Oryzias latipes: one gene and its partners. The protein of the gene in region 3 binds, or shares a complex with, the protein of the main gene of each other region. Links are inferred from orthologs where the notes say so. Each region holds a gene or a part of one and is shown on either strand. Other genes may lie near its edges.

The links. Proteins that work in one complex are often made in the same cells at the same time.
Region 1: akap13 (region 3) and map3k20 share a complex: the UniProt entries of both Homo sapiens proteins name them as parts of the signaling complex. The link is inferred for Oryzias latipes from reciprocal best matches to the Homo sapiens genes AKAP13 and MAP3K20.
Region 2: akap13 (region 3) and nod2 share a complex: the UniProt entries of both Homo sapiens proteins name them as parts of the signaling complex. The link is inferred for Oryzias latipes from reciprocal best matches to the Homo sapiens genes AKAP13 and NOD2.

Annotation. Positions count from the first base shown.
Region 1 is NC_019879.2:22,146,319-22,150,486, reverse strand, and holds the start of map3k20 (mitogen-activated protein kinase kinase kinase 20), read right to left. Parts: upstream 2,804-4,168; 5' UTR 2,527-2,803; intron 425-2,526; 5' UTR 376-424; coding exon 217-375; intron 1-216. UniProt on the Homo sapiens protein: Stress-activated component of a protein kinase signal transduction cascade that promotes programmed cell death in response to various stress, such as ribosomal stress, osmotic shock and ionizing radiation.
Region 2 is NC_019861.2:30,237,998-30,242,137, forward strand, and holds the start of nod2 (nucleotide-binding oligomerization domain-containing protein 2), read right to left. Parts: upstream 2,804-4,140; 5' UTR 2,724-2,803; exon of another isoform or gene 2,524-2,723; 5' UTR 2,446-2,523; coding exon 1,969-2,445; intron 1-1,968. UniProt on the Homo sapiens protein: Pattern recognition receptor (PRR) that detects bacterial peptidoglycan fragments and other danger signals and plays an important role in gastrointestinal immunity.
Region 3 is NC_019861.2:32,241,865-32,246,061, forward strand, and holds the start of akap13 (A-kinase anchor protein 13), read right to left. Parts: upstream 2,805-4,197; 5' UTR 2,590-2,804; intron 1-2,589. UniProt on the Homo sapiens protein: Scaffold protein that plays an important role in assembling signaling complexes downstream of several types of G protein-coupled receptors.

The DNA of each region.
Region 1 (4,168 bases), on a different chromosome or scaffold from region 3:
GGTGGGGGGGTGGGGGCTGTAGTATGTGCTTTCATTTAACAATAATGTGTTGTTGTTTTTTTTTTTTCGTTTTTCCGACTGGAGGAGTTTATAATGACCACACGTGAAGGGCAAAGAAGTCGCCACATCCAACAAAAATAGGGTAGCAATTAAAATGATTACCACTCTGACAATTAAAAAAAGTATACGAACAGCCCCAGCAATCACGGCTCCTACCTCGTTTTCAATCTTCAGCAATTTTTTCACCGCCACCTCTTTGTCCCGGGAGACCCACTTGGCTCGATACACGCTTCCGAAGCTGCCGCCGCCACAGTTCTCGAAGAAGTGGATGTCACCGAAGTTGATCTGCACGAAAGAAACGCTGGGAGACGACATCTCATAATGGCAGCTTCAACTCAGCCTCTGAGGAGGGGGGGGGGGGTCACTAGGGGGGGGGGAGAAAAAAAAAGTCACTCAACAAAGTCCATCCAAGTTGTCGGTGCAACAGCAGCCCGACTGCACCCGCCTGATCCTACAAGTCAGTTTATCTTTGAGTTGTTCCTCATTTTCCACCTCCAGCCCTTATCAGTGACAACAAGCTCAGGCTCCAGCCAATGCGTGCACACACATATGATGCAGTGACCTGCAGGATCTACTGCTGTGCTTGGTTTAAGCACTGCACATGTGACATCACGCATGTGATGGTCGCAAAAGAAAAAAAATAAGAGATCAAGTCATCATAGCAGTCCGATGTGTGGAAACCCTTTGAATTTGGCTACGATCATAGAGTGTGGTATCATGTTCTCATAATGTTCCCTTTGGATTCTTTTGATGTGGAAAAACAGTAGGAAACTGAAATGTGAATGGATTATCCACTGATACTTGTTTACTTGTTTCTTTGTACTCATATTTAATTTTGATTATCTTGAAAGAAAAACAAGGAATCTGGAAAACTTCAGCTGCACTGTTCAGTATCCAGATATTTATCTCTGAGTCCCACTGGTGATGAAAGATGTCCTGGATCGATTTTAGGTCAGTGATTTGGATCGATCAAAATGAACCAATATCGATTATGAATCATACTAGCAAATAAAAACTATGATATGAATTGAATCGTTGTGCAAATTAACTGTTAAACCCCTTAATTCAGTTGAACTCCCAAAGTAAATGTTACAATAAAAGAGTTTTTAATAACTACATCATTTCATTTTTGTTTAAAGTCACAATTATCTTTTGATATATTGTAAAAGCATTCCCAGTGCTCTTTTAACTGCGATTTTGCCCTTTTTCAGCCAAAATCAAAAAAGCTGTGTGGTTTTCTAGGACGTAGTTCCTGCAGAGCGGCAGAAATTTGCATCATCATCTTTACACTCTCTCCTGCTAGTTTACAGTCCCTCACAACCGCAAGCTCACAGTACAGGGGTAAAAAAATGGCGGTGCCATCCAGCTGTACAGTTTTGAGCCAGATGCCAGCTCAGACGAGGAAAACGTACATGGATCTAATCGTCTGCAGGTGGATGCATCGGAATGGAGTGGAGCATGAGGCCTGCCCATTGTAGCACCTATGTCAGAGCTGCAAGCTTTTTCCAAACACATTATTTTTCATCTGCTCCTGCTTCACAACGATTTGTAATAAAGAAATACTAAGAAAGGCGGTTTTAATCTTAAATTTGTCCCCCATCATTAGAAAAAAGCTACGAGAAAATGTTAAAAACACGATTGAAGAAAGTCAAACTGATGAAGAGAACAAAAATGCTTAAAATTGGAAATCAAATTTGGTGTGAAAAAAATATTTATAGGCCATAGTGGCCCTAACACCAAATGTACCAAATCCACCCCAACTGATCATCACACCTCCTGTTTGTCCACCGCAAAAATAAAAGCATCTAGTAAAAAAAAAAAAGGAGGAGGAGTGTGTGTGGGGGGATCCATCATTAAAGGAAATTGTAGCTCTGTTATTGTTCCTGGGTTTTCCATTTACAGCAGAGCAATTACGGCTTTTAAAAGCCAACAGCCTCGGTCTTCATTGGGATTACTATCCATCACACTAAGAAATGCCTCCATTGTCGCAGAGGGGAGCCGCTGCTTTCAGCTGATTTACTTGTATTCATGCTATACTTAGCTACAAAGCAATTTGCTAAGTTGCAGAGAGCAACCCCCCCCCCCCCCCCCCTCATTCTGTCTGACCACTCAAGAAACCAGGGTTACTTGGATATGCCCCCCCCCGCCCCCTCCTGTCAGTGTTGCTGCCTCTCATCATCTAACAGCAAACAACGCTCAACAATGAGACCTGATGGCCACTTCAGAAAGCTCAGGTTGTTGTAATCAGATCTGAACGGAAAGTCTGCGTCTGCATTAAAACATAATGTGACACCAAAAACATAAAAGTTACGCTTTGTTTACAACAGGATTATGACTGTGGTTTAAGCATATTTAGCTTCAGACGACAGGCGTCACGCGCGCGCGCACGTAGCTTTAGCAATACAATGAATGAGTTGAATTATGTAGCTAAATAGTTTTATTAGACCGCGTTCTATACATACATACCACCATAGAGTAAAGGTTCGGCTTTCGGAGTAGCACGTTGTGGGTTCCGTTCACGCCGGGCATGAGCCTGACCTCGAAAAGCGACTGCAGTTCCGGAAAGTCACGTGTGGAGTCTCCCTTTTTTTCTCTGCTCTCCCAGTGAAGTTTCGCTTGTTGCATAGTTTGAGCAACAAGCTGTTTTATGCTGTGTGGCAGTTTTCCGGCTGCAGTTCCCCTCCAATTTGAAGGCAACAGCTCCCCCTGCTGGATGAACGTTGAACAACCCCACATGGCACTTGAGCCACACCACAGAGGAAGTTTTTTTAACCCCTCCCATATTTCAAAGTAATATGCACTTTGTCAATTGACAGTTTTGCAGTTGATTTTGCTTTAATTTCATTTTTTTTAATTGTAATACTGAATTGTAATTTTTCTTGTTTGAAATATAAATTGTGAAGCACATTTTGATATTGCAAGCCTGAGTTAGTCATTAACACGTCAATTGCAAAAGGCATTTTCATATTGCATGATCAAATTGCAAATTGAACTGTCAATTGAGAATTACATATTACTTTGAATCATGGATGAAAACATGTCCATTCCCAATAAAAAACACCCCTGTGTCTAAAAGGATAATTTCAATGCAGCAAATGTAGTAGTGAAATGTCAGTAGTGATTTCCTAAAAAATAGTTTAATTTAATGTGCAAGATAGCCAGTTTTTATTGTATACAAATTAGTTATTAATCAGCAAAACAGCAATCTGGTCTATACCCATGTAGATGAATTCAATATTTGTAGCATTTACTATTTTGGCAATATTAAACAAATTCTGGAAACAAAAACTTATAGCAAAATTTTAATAAATATATTGGGTCCTGTTGTTATTTATGTGTTTAAGGAACAATGAGATTTTAATTTTTACACAAGTTTCCTCAAAAGGGGAGGAAAAAATACACATTTTGTTATTCCATTAAGAAAAGGTTTGCCCAAGACAGACATTAGTTTTTCTCCTTACATTTTCTCCTATTGTTTCAAATATTGTAATTCCTCTCATCTTGGTGTAGAAAAATGTAAAAAATAAAAGGAAAAATATATACATATTTATATAAAAGCAAAACATGAAAAAGAAAACTTAATCCAGTACACTAATACATCTAAAAAATTGTATGTGATACAAAAAAATCAACAACTTTAGATACTTTTTAAAAGAATTGGGTTCACATAAATAATCATTACAGTCATCCATTTGCAAAAGTCATCTTAAATATAATAAGCCAGTTACAGCACAAAAAAAAAAGGAAGAATATGTACAAATATTATTTGGTAAAAGATTCAAAACACTTGAAAATGAGTAACATTGAGATTTAGAATTTTGCAAGCATCATGTACTCAACATCACAATTCCCATCCTTCAATAAGATCTTTGTCTTTTTCGAGGTTTGCTGGAGTTTGAGATGGTTTCTGTGTTGCCCCAATATGAGAGGTACTTCATCCGGCAACAATTACTGTTGTTGAAAATCCCAAATTACAGTAATAAAAGACTTAAATAGTCAGCCAACAGCTTTTGAAACAATATGTCATTATCTGGTGCCTCATTAGGTCCTCCATGTGATTGGAGTAAATTCATAATAATCTGAGCACATGTCATGTTGTGAAGCAGCA
Region 2 (4,140 bases), about 2.0 Mb from region 3:
TGATTTTGCAGATGTTTGTATGCAAAGTGACTTAGAAATGAGGAACATGACGAGAGTAAAACTGACAGTCACTCATTTTAGGTTAAAAGTGCTTTAAAGAAAAATCTTAGGTACAAGAAATGTCGAGGAGTGGGTAGTTTTTTTTTTAATCTGTAAGAGGAGAACAGTCTTTGGCATGTACTTTAAAATTGTGCAACGGATAGAGAGTTGCATATCTCATTCGAGCTAAAGAATTAAGCTGCTGATCTTTTGTTGGGTGGTGCCAGGAACACCAGTTGTTGGGAAAGGTTGTGGGCGAGTGTCAGGGTTTAAAACACAAACAGGGCAGCCACAGTAAGCCAAAACAGAGTCAGAACATTGTCACTCACTCGGTGTACCCGAATTTGGTCAATTAAGTTTATAAATTCATGGCTCAGGTGCACCTAGAAGACATACAAACTAAGGTTTTTTACATCCCTGCTGACATCAAGAGGCCTTGTTCGCTCTACGCTTCCTTCAGAATACACAGATTTCAAGTATTAAGCAAAACTTTGGTAAAAAGTTTGACCTTCTTTAATTGCTCAGTTCAGTTCAAAGCACATATTGTCTCATGCTGCACAAAAATGGTTAGTATTTAAACAGAAGCGAGCTGCTAAAAAAACCCCACATATATTTATGTACTCTTTGTGAACTTTTTCTACTGGATCATAATGCAGTAAAGTCATGTTTATGTTCCTGTTAACAGCAGCAGGAAGAAAAAAAAGATGATATCTCACCACAGTCGACCTAAAAAATAAAAAGTGAAAACACTGTTTATGCCCTGAGTTGTTTGAAGAAGTACATTAGCTGCACAGAGCGTCTTTGTTTTAAAAGAAAGTCATTTGACCTCCTATATGAGCTTCTCTCAAAAGTAAAAAATATGTTCACATTTTGGGAAAATTCTAGTTTCTCTTTATATTCGTGTATATATCCATGACAAAAATGAAACAAAAATCATGTTATAAAAGTAGAAAGGACATGAAATTTCTCTTTTAATTAATTTTAATTTTTATGTCATGGAGTATTTATCCTATCAAACCTTTTCCAAGTCCTGGTAACTTTTATTACAGTTGTTTTTTTCTTCTACTTGGCACAGCAGAGAGCATCAAAAAACAGAGCATTAAAAAAACAAAAAGACACTGGAGCAGAAAAAAGATCAGAAAAATATAGCAAACAGTCAATTTGACTGCTATGGCCATTTGATCTTTATCTTTTGTGTGTTTTTTTTTAAATGACGTTAGAATAAAACATACACACAGTTTCAAAAAGTCAGGGTCTCATTAATCCATACGTTAGCAGGATTTGATGTAGCAAATTTTAAAAGCAGTTGAAACTCTCTTTAATGGTTGCTGGTTTACTATTTAAGTGGGCTGTTAGAGCTGCTACTGAGTGGAACTTCACCCCCATGACTATTAGAAATCAAATCACATATAAATCATTTAAGACACAGTTAAAGAAATGGCTCATTGACAATCAGAGCTGTCAACACTACGTACACTTCCTATCACTGATTACCCGCTACTATCTTGTCTTGTGTGTGTGTATATGTTTATGCATTTGTCCGATTTGGATTGTTTTATTGCCAATTTAATTTTAGGTTAACTACTAATTTTACTGAATGTATGGTTTAATATATGTATGTAATGTTATGTAAATATGTAATTTTATTTTGATCTTGTAAGGTGATTTTAACATCTACCCAGATAAAAAATTGAATGAATATTGACAGAAATAATTATTAATATGCGCTGTCCCTGTATCGAATAAATAAATAAAATCTAAAATTAAAAAAAACTCTTGAAAAATAAAGGAACTTTAAACCAAAGCAAAAAAATATATATTTAAACACTTTATTGTAATATTTTAATAAACAGTTGTAAAAATGCAAATACCTAAAGCCTGCCTACCCAATCAAGTCTTGTTCATTTGTGTTATCCTAAAAATGCTCACCTGCTGAGACGGGGTGTAAACAGGTAGCAGCACTTCATTAGCATCTGCAGAGGAGAAGTGTCCAGACTCCACAAGAGCTTCCACCGCATCATGAACGGAGCCCTGCAGTTTCCAGACCAGACTAGGTCTTCGTTTCAGGACCGTCTCCGTCCATGTCCTCTGAGTGACTTCTAGTTCATCCAAAGTGGATGAGTGTTCTAAGAAGCAAAGACCAGCCCCCTGCTCTTTTGGCAGAATCTGTTTGAGAGCAGCGAGGAAGAGCTCACAGGTGTCTGCACCCTTTGTGTAAACCAGGTCAAGCAGGTTTCTGGCATTGCTGTTCAGTGGTCTTCCTGTAACCTGTACGTTCTGGTAGTCCTCCCATGTGATCTCTTCCTGAGCCAGCAGTATATCCAAAATGCTTTCCAGATGTTCAGCTGACCCACCACTGCAGAGAGCACGCAGAATCTCTGTACGCTGCTTCAGCAAACGCTCCATGGCAGACGGGCTTTTTTCGCATCAGCTTCCATGCTCCAAGATTCCATCTTGGACTTGTGCTGCTCGCAACGCCCCAGCCTGCCAAACACAGATGTGATCATTCATGGCAAGAATCCACGAGTTTTACAATTCTCGCTTTACAAGTTTGCATTGGACGCCATAGGTAGACAAAACACAGCTCTTTAGTGATCTCTGTATGGCGTCCATCCACATGAGTCACATTCTGTCAAAACCTGAAGATATACTTGAAAACCTGCTATTAAAATATGATCTCTCACTACGAAATGTCAGCAATCGGGGCTCCTTCTCTCATTTGGGCGTCCTGAAACATTTGTTGGTGAGCCTCTGTCTGTCCTCTTCCTCATTCCACAACTGAAAGTGAAACTGGTTTTGCACAACTTTAATCAAAAGTAAATGTTGGTTAAAAAAAATAAAAACAGTTTGTCTGAAGTACTTCCCTGTTGGGGCGGATTTTGCAGCATAGATTTTCTGCTTAGTTCTATCACATGTAAACATATTTCTATAGCAGAAATGTGAAGGTTTCTTTATATTTTAAAAAAACTTTAAAGACAATGCTCATTTCTCCCTTTCTTTTATGTAAAAGCTGTGCTGTGTGGAACATGATCAAGTAGAGAGAAAGGTTTCAGAGACGAGGGTTGCAGTTTGATGCTGCGCCCACTTGATGGAACTGTTGCGTAATAAAAAAATCTAGCTGGTTTGTAGAGAAACCTGTGACTGGTTGACATTGGGGTTGACATATTTCTGAATTTCTGCAGCTATGTAGTTTTTTTTGTGCCTTTTTTATTTTAGAACCCAAACAAACTGTATGTGAAAAAAGGTGAATAGAAATGTAGTAAAATCAAAAGATGAGATACATAAATCATATTTTGCAATGCTTTTTCAATTTCTTTTTCAATTTCTTTCAAGTGGCTGGGATAGGCTCTGGCAGCCTTGTGACCCCGAAAGGGAACTAACGGAAGAAGATGAATGCTTTTTAAATTTTTTTTTTTTTTTGCTCCGTCCTGACCATGTGATTGTTTCGTTATCAGGCCTCTCTGTTCTGAAGGGAAACATAAATGAGCAGAAGAAATCAAAGATAGCTTCTTTTCAGCTCCTCACCAAGAAACAGGCAGCTCCCCCTTGGGGAGTGTAATGCAGAGTACTACCTGTAAGGCATCCTGTGTGAAACCTAAAGGGGGGATACTGTCATCTAAATAACAGACAGGAGTCCAGAGCAGCTTGAGAGACTTTAAAAATAAGGTATAAAGTCACTCGTGCGTCAATTTATTCAATTCAATTCAATTTTATTTGTATGGCCCAAATTCACAACAACAGTCGTCTCAATGGGCTTTGTATCGGGAATTGAAAAAGTGAAGCATGAACTCAAAAGGATCATGAATACATAGAGTTCATTAGGAAAAATACTAAAAGGAACTAACAAACTGACTAAGCTATACTGGCATCCCTGCCCTTAGACCCCCCTTCCTGGTAAGGAAAAACTCCTAAAAAACCGGATTCCGGAAAAAACGAAAACGATCATTTTAATGTTATATGCGTGCCGTATACATAATATAAAAGTTATACATCGGTGATACATGTGGGAAAAGTCTGTTGGACATACATGGAAAGCCACAAATCTGCGTGTGCATCGTGTAAAAATCATGCACAGATTTACTTATTGATTGCGTATAAACT
Region 3 (4,197 bases):
ACGCCAAACCTCTGCTGTAGTTTTGAAAGGCTTCAGTGCCAGGAGCTGCGCCTCAGTTGGATCAGGGGCTCAGCCTTGCACTCACTCTCTGACACTTGATTAATGGAATCAGCTGAAGTAACAAGAGAAAATGATCTGAGAGGAGAAATTATTCAACTTCGTAGCATTTCTCAGTACTAAAATGAACTGGATGAATTGAATTTGAAAGTTTAGATATTACCAATCCTACAAGTTTAGACCGGTAACAGTTGAAATGTTTTGCAGCCCACAAATTCTCTTAAATAAATCAGGCCATCTGCAAAAAGGAAGGGTGTAGGTAAAACAGTGCCGCACTGCTAACTGACAAATACTAACGACCAAACCGCTAAAAGCTCGCACGTTTCCTGTGAGTCGGCTGTAAAGCCCCCAGATTGAATCACAGGTCACTGAGGCAAACTTCCCTTTGACACATAAAAGTTCAATTTTAGCCCAGATGATGAAGTGGTACTGCAAATACAACACACCCGTGGTGCAAAATAAAAGTTTCAGGATGTAGTCAGAACGGACCAGTTTCTGCTTTCACTTCATCGGCTTTTTAGAGTCTGTTAAAGGATGAATACAAAACCCACAAGAATCAGTTCTGCTGGCCTAACAGTCAGATTTAGCCCTTCTTCCGCTCTTTTGGGGGCAAAAATGATCTAATAAAAAAACAGAATCTTTTGATAAATATTTGAGTGATGGGACACAGACACAAGAAACATGTAAGACCCTTCTTTTCCTGGACTGACTGACTCAGTGTGAGCAGTCCACAGTTGACACGAGGCTCACACCAAACAGGCCCACTGGCCAAGGAGGAAGAGGTCTGTCATGAGAAGGCAGAAACCCGCCGTGTCATGTGTCTGGTCTTTTGAGTGTCTGCAAAGGGATGACTCAAACTGGTGTAAATGAATTAGCAGGCCCCTGTTTTTCCTGACGTGTGTCCAGGAGCTCTAATAGGAAGGACGGGTTATAAAACTCGTCCAGATGAACTTCCTTAAAGACCCCCTCTGATTAAAATTGTGTTTTAGCGTGTTCTTGTGGCGGTTTTTCTAATGATGTCAGACTTATATCAAGAAGATAAAGCTTTAAATCGCTTTTCTGAGTTTTTCTCTGTTCAAATCACTGTGAATCAGAAGCAGACAAAAAAAATGCAGTTTGAAAAAGATTGCATTCGACCCATGTACGTCTTTGTTTTCCTCGTCTGACCATGTATCTGTCTGTATGACTGGATATCTCCAATATTGCTCGCCATTTTTGCTGCACCGATAATATTAGGTTGGGGGCATGAGGGGTTGTAAGCTAGCGAGGAGGGGGGGTTGCTATTTGCCAACAGTCCAGTCCACAACTCAGAGACAAATTTCTAATGAACTACAGCCACTCTGCAAAAACCATGTCCTAGTGGAGTGGAACTTTAAAAAACACGCACTGTGGCCTTTCCCTTTTCGTTAGAAGTTGACATCATTTCCTCAGACACTGCAGTGTCATGTGACATACTTTGGATCCAGCTGTCACATGGATACAAAACAAACACAATTTTAATCAGTGTCACTATCTTCACTGTGACTCTGATAGCTGCCTGCATGGGGAGTAAAGACTCAGTCCTATCCTCTCGTCAACTCTCTTTGAAAGCATTGTTACAGCTTTGCCCATATACTCTCATCTACAGTAGCACTGGTTTGCTAGGAGCTTTGCTATGTCAGAACGGCATTTATAGAGACAGAAACCAAAAAGTGACAACGCAGCAAAAATGTTGGCTTAATTCCAGGCAAGAGTACATCATGTAAACTATGTATGGAGAGACCGCAGCCCCTGAGGGAATTTTTAAGTGATGCAGTATTAAAAACATAAAGACATAATAGCAGGAGAGGCACAGCCTGAAGTTATTAGAGAGAAAAGTGTTGGCAGGAAAAACTCCAGCCTGTTGTTGTAGTGTGGCTGAAGAAGCCTCTGATTGAAGACACTGTCTGTTGAGTATACTCAAGTATTTTTTTCAGACTAAATATTTACTCTTAGGCACAGATTTTTACCTCTAAAGGAAAAAAAATAACAAGTTTTTTTTATTTTTAAATAAAAATATATATTTGCAAATATATCGTGGTTTAATTCAAGATGCATTAGAAAAATAACAATAAATTCAAGTATGACCAGTCAAAAACCATTATATCCCTACTGGCATGGTCATTATCTTCACAACTGTACGGCCTATAATTATAAGTCTATACATCTCATTATGGCAGAAAAAAAAGTTGTGAACGACCTCAAAATGTAAAAATGTTGAGATAAGCTTCAAAATGTTTCTTAGAGTCTTTTGTGTGGGGGGGTCACTTTATACTTTTAAGGACGGATGAGTAGCTGCTCGCCCCTTTCAGCTCACAGAAACGTGAGAAGTTCCCACACGGGCCCTGCAGGACAGGCTCCGACCGAGGATGTCATGGCTACCGAGCAACAAGTTATAAAACACAACTTTCTCTCCACGAAAAACACGCAGAACCACGCCAGAACTGCGACACGTCCCGCGTGCGTTTTACTCCAAAAACTGGCGAAGCGAGAGAAACGAGTCCTCTTTCTTACCTAAAGCAGCTGAAGAAGCTCAGCGTGAAGGCGCAGCGCCTTTAAGACACATAATAATCCTTCCCAGAGTCAGCCTGCTGTGCTTGGAGCTACGCCGAGCTGCCCTGTTCTCTCAAAGAAAACTTTGTTTTGGAGAAGTTAAACAGACGACCGGCGCTGGGCTTTTCCGTCCTTGTCGCTGAGGAGCCGCGGCGCTCGCGCAAGACTTTCTTAGTTGTTAGTGTTTCCCAGGACAACTCAGTGGGAGGAGTCTCCGCTAGGACTCCTGGGATTTTCGTTCACTTTCAACGAAACAGAGCGGAACAGTGACAACTAACGTTCAAACTGTGGTACTGCAACCCATCTGTGATCCCTTACATTTAAAAAAAATTAAGGAGAAAAAAAGAACAAGAAAAAAAAAATTCTGATGTATAAAAGATTATTTTTAAAATTACTTTTCGATACAGGCTGGAAGTTTTTCCCAAAGTAAGCTAACAAGGTGTATAAACATCCTGTTGGCCTTTTCAAAATAAAACCATTCCAAGAACCCACTCAAATTATCTCTAGATCCATTTTGAAAGTGTTTCCAGTGGTCTTTTAAGTATCATTAAGCCATTTTTATCAAAAAATTAAAACTTGTGACATTTTATGGGACATAGACACACTGGTTCACTCGACATAGGACTTTTAAAAGCAATTCGGACATCATGCTCACTACATTTGTTTAAACATTAATTATATCAATGATGTCACAAGTAAAAAGCTAAGAAATTACTAGCATTTTACAGAGTATTTATGAATCCACTGTGTTCTGATCATGAAATGTAGTTGGTTTATGACAAAATTAATTAAAATACATTTGTTTCACAAAAATTGCTCAAATGCAATGTATTAGTATCAATCTAGTATCAATGCACACTCGTTTTTTGCAGAGAAATTTTGGAAATTTCTAGGGCACACTATTTTAGAATTGTAGATTTGGAAAGCTCTACATAATAGCGAACGCACTAAATAGTGCACTATGTAGTTACTAGTAAAGGAATTTGGACACAACCTCTGACTTGTGGAAGGAACCATCGGCCCTGCCTCTCCTTCCTCTCTCCCGTTGCTGAGAGCTCTCTGTTCATGTGGAATGGTGAGCTTGTGCCCAGGCCAGCGTATTTGTTATGTAACAAATACGCTCTTTTTCAAACAATATGTTTTCATACGCTCCTGATTCCCAACATTTAAATAAAGAAATACTCAGAAATGCAATTTGAACACAATTTTCTTAATATTTGTCCTCCATCATCAGAATAATGCCACAAGAACATGTTAAAAAACACCCCCGAAAAAAAACACTTTTAATGAGATGGTTAAAATGGGTTTTCTTAAAATCTTTCCTTAACAAGATATTTTTCTTTTGCGTGTTTGTTGGCAACGTAGTTTCATATTGTTTTTGTTGTTTTCATGTTTTTTTTCTTGATCTTGGTTGACAAGTCAGTTATTTTGTAGTATGTGTTTAATGCACATAAGAAAAATCTTGCAAATTGCACGTGCTTTTGCTTTTATTTTGAAAACACAACCATGAAAACTTCTGCTATCTCTCCAGCTCACTGGTTTCCTGCTCCCCAGGCCAGAACAAATGAG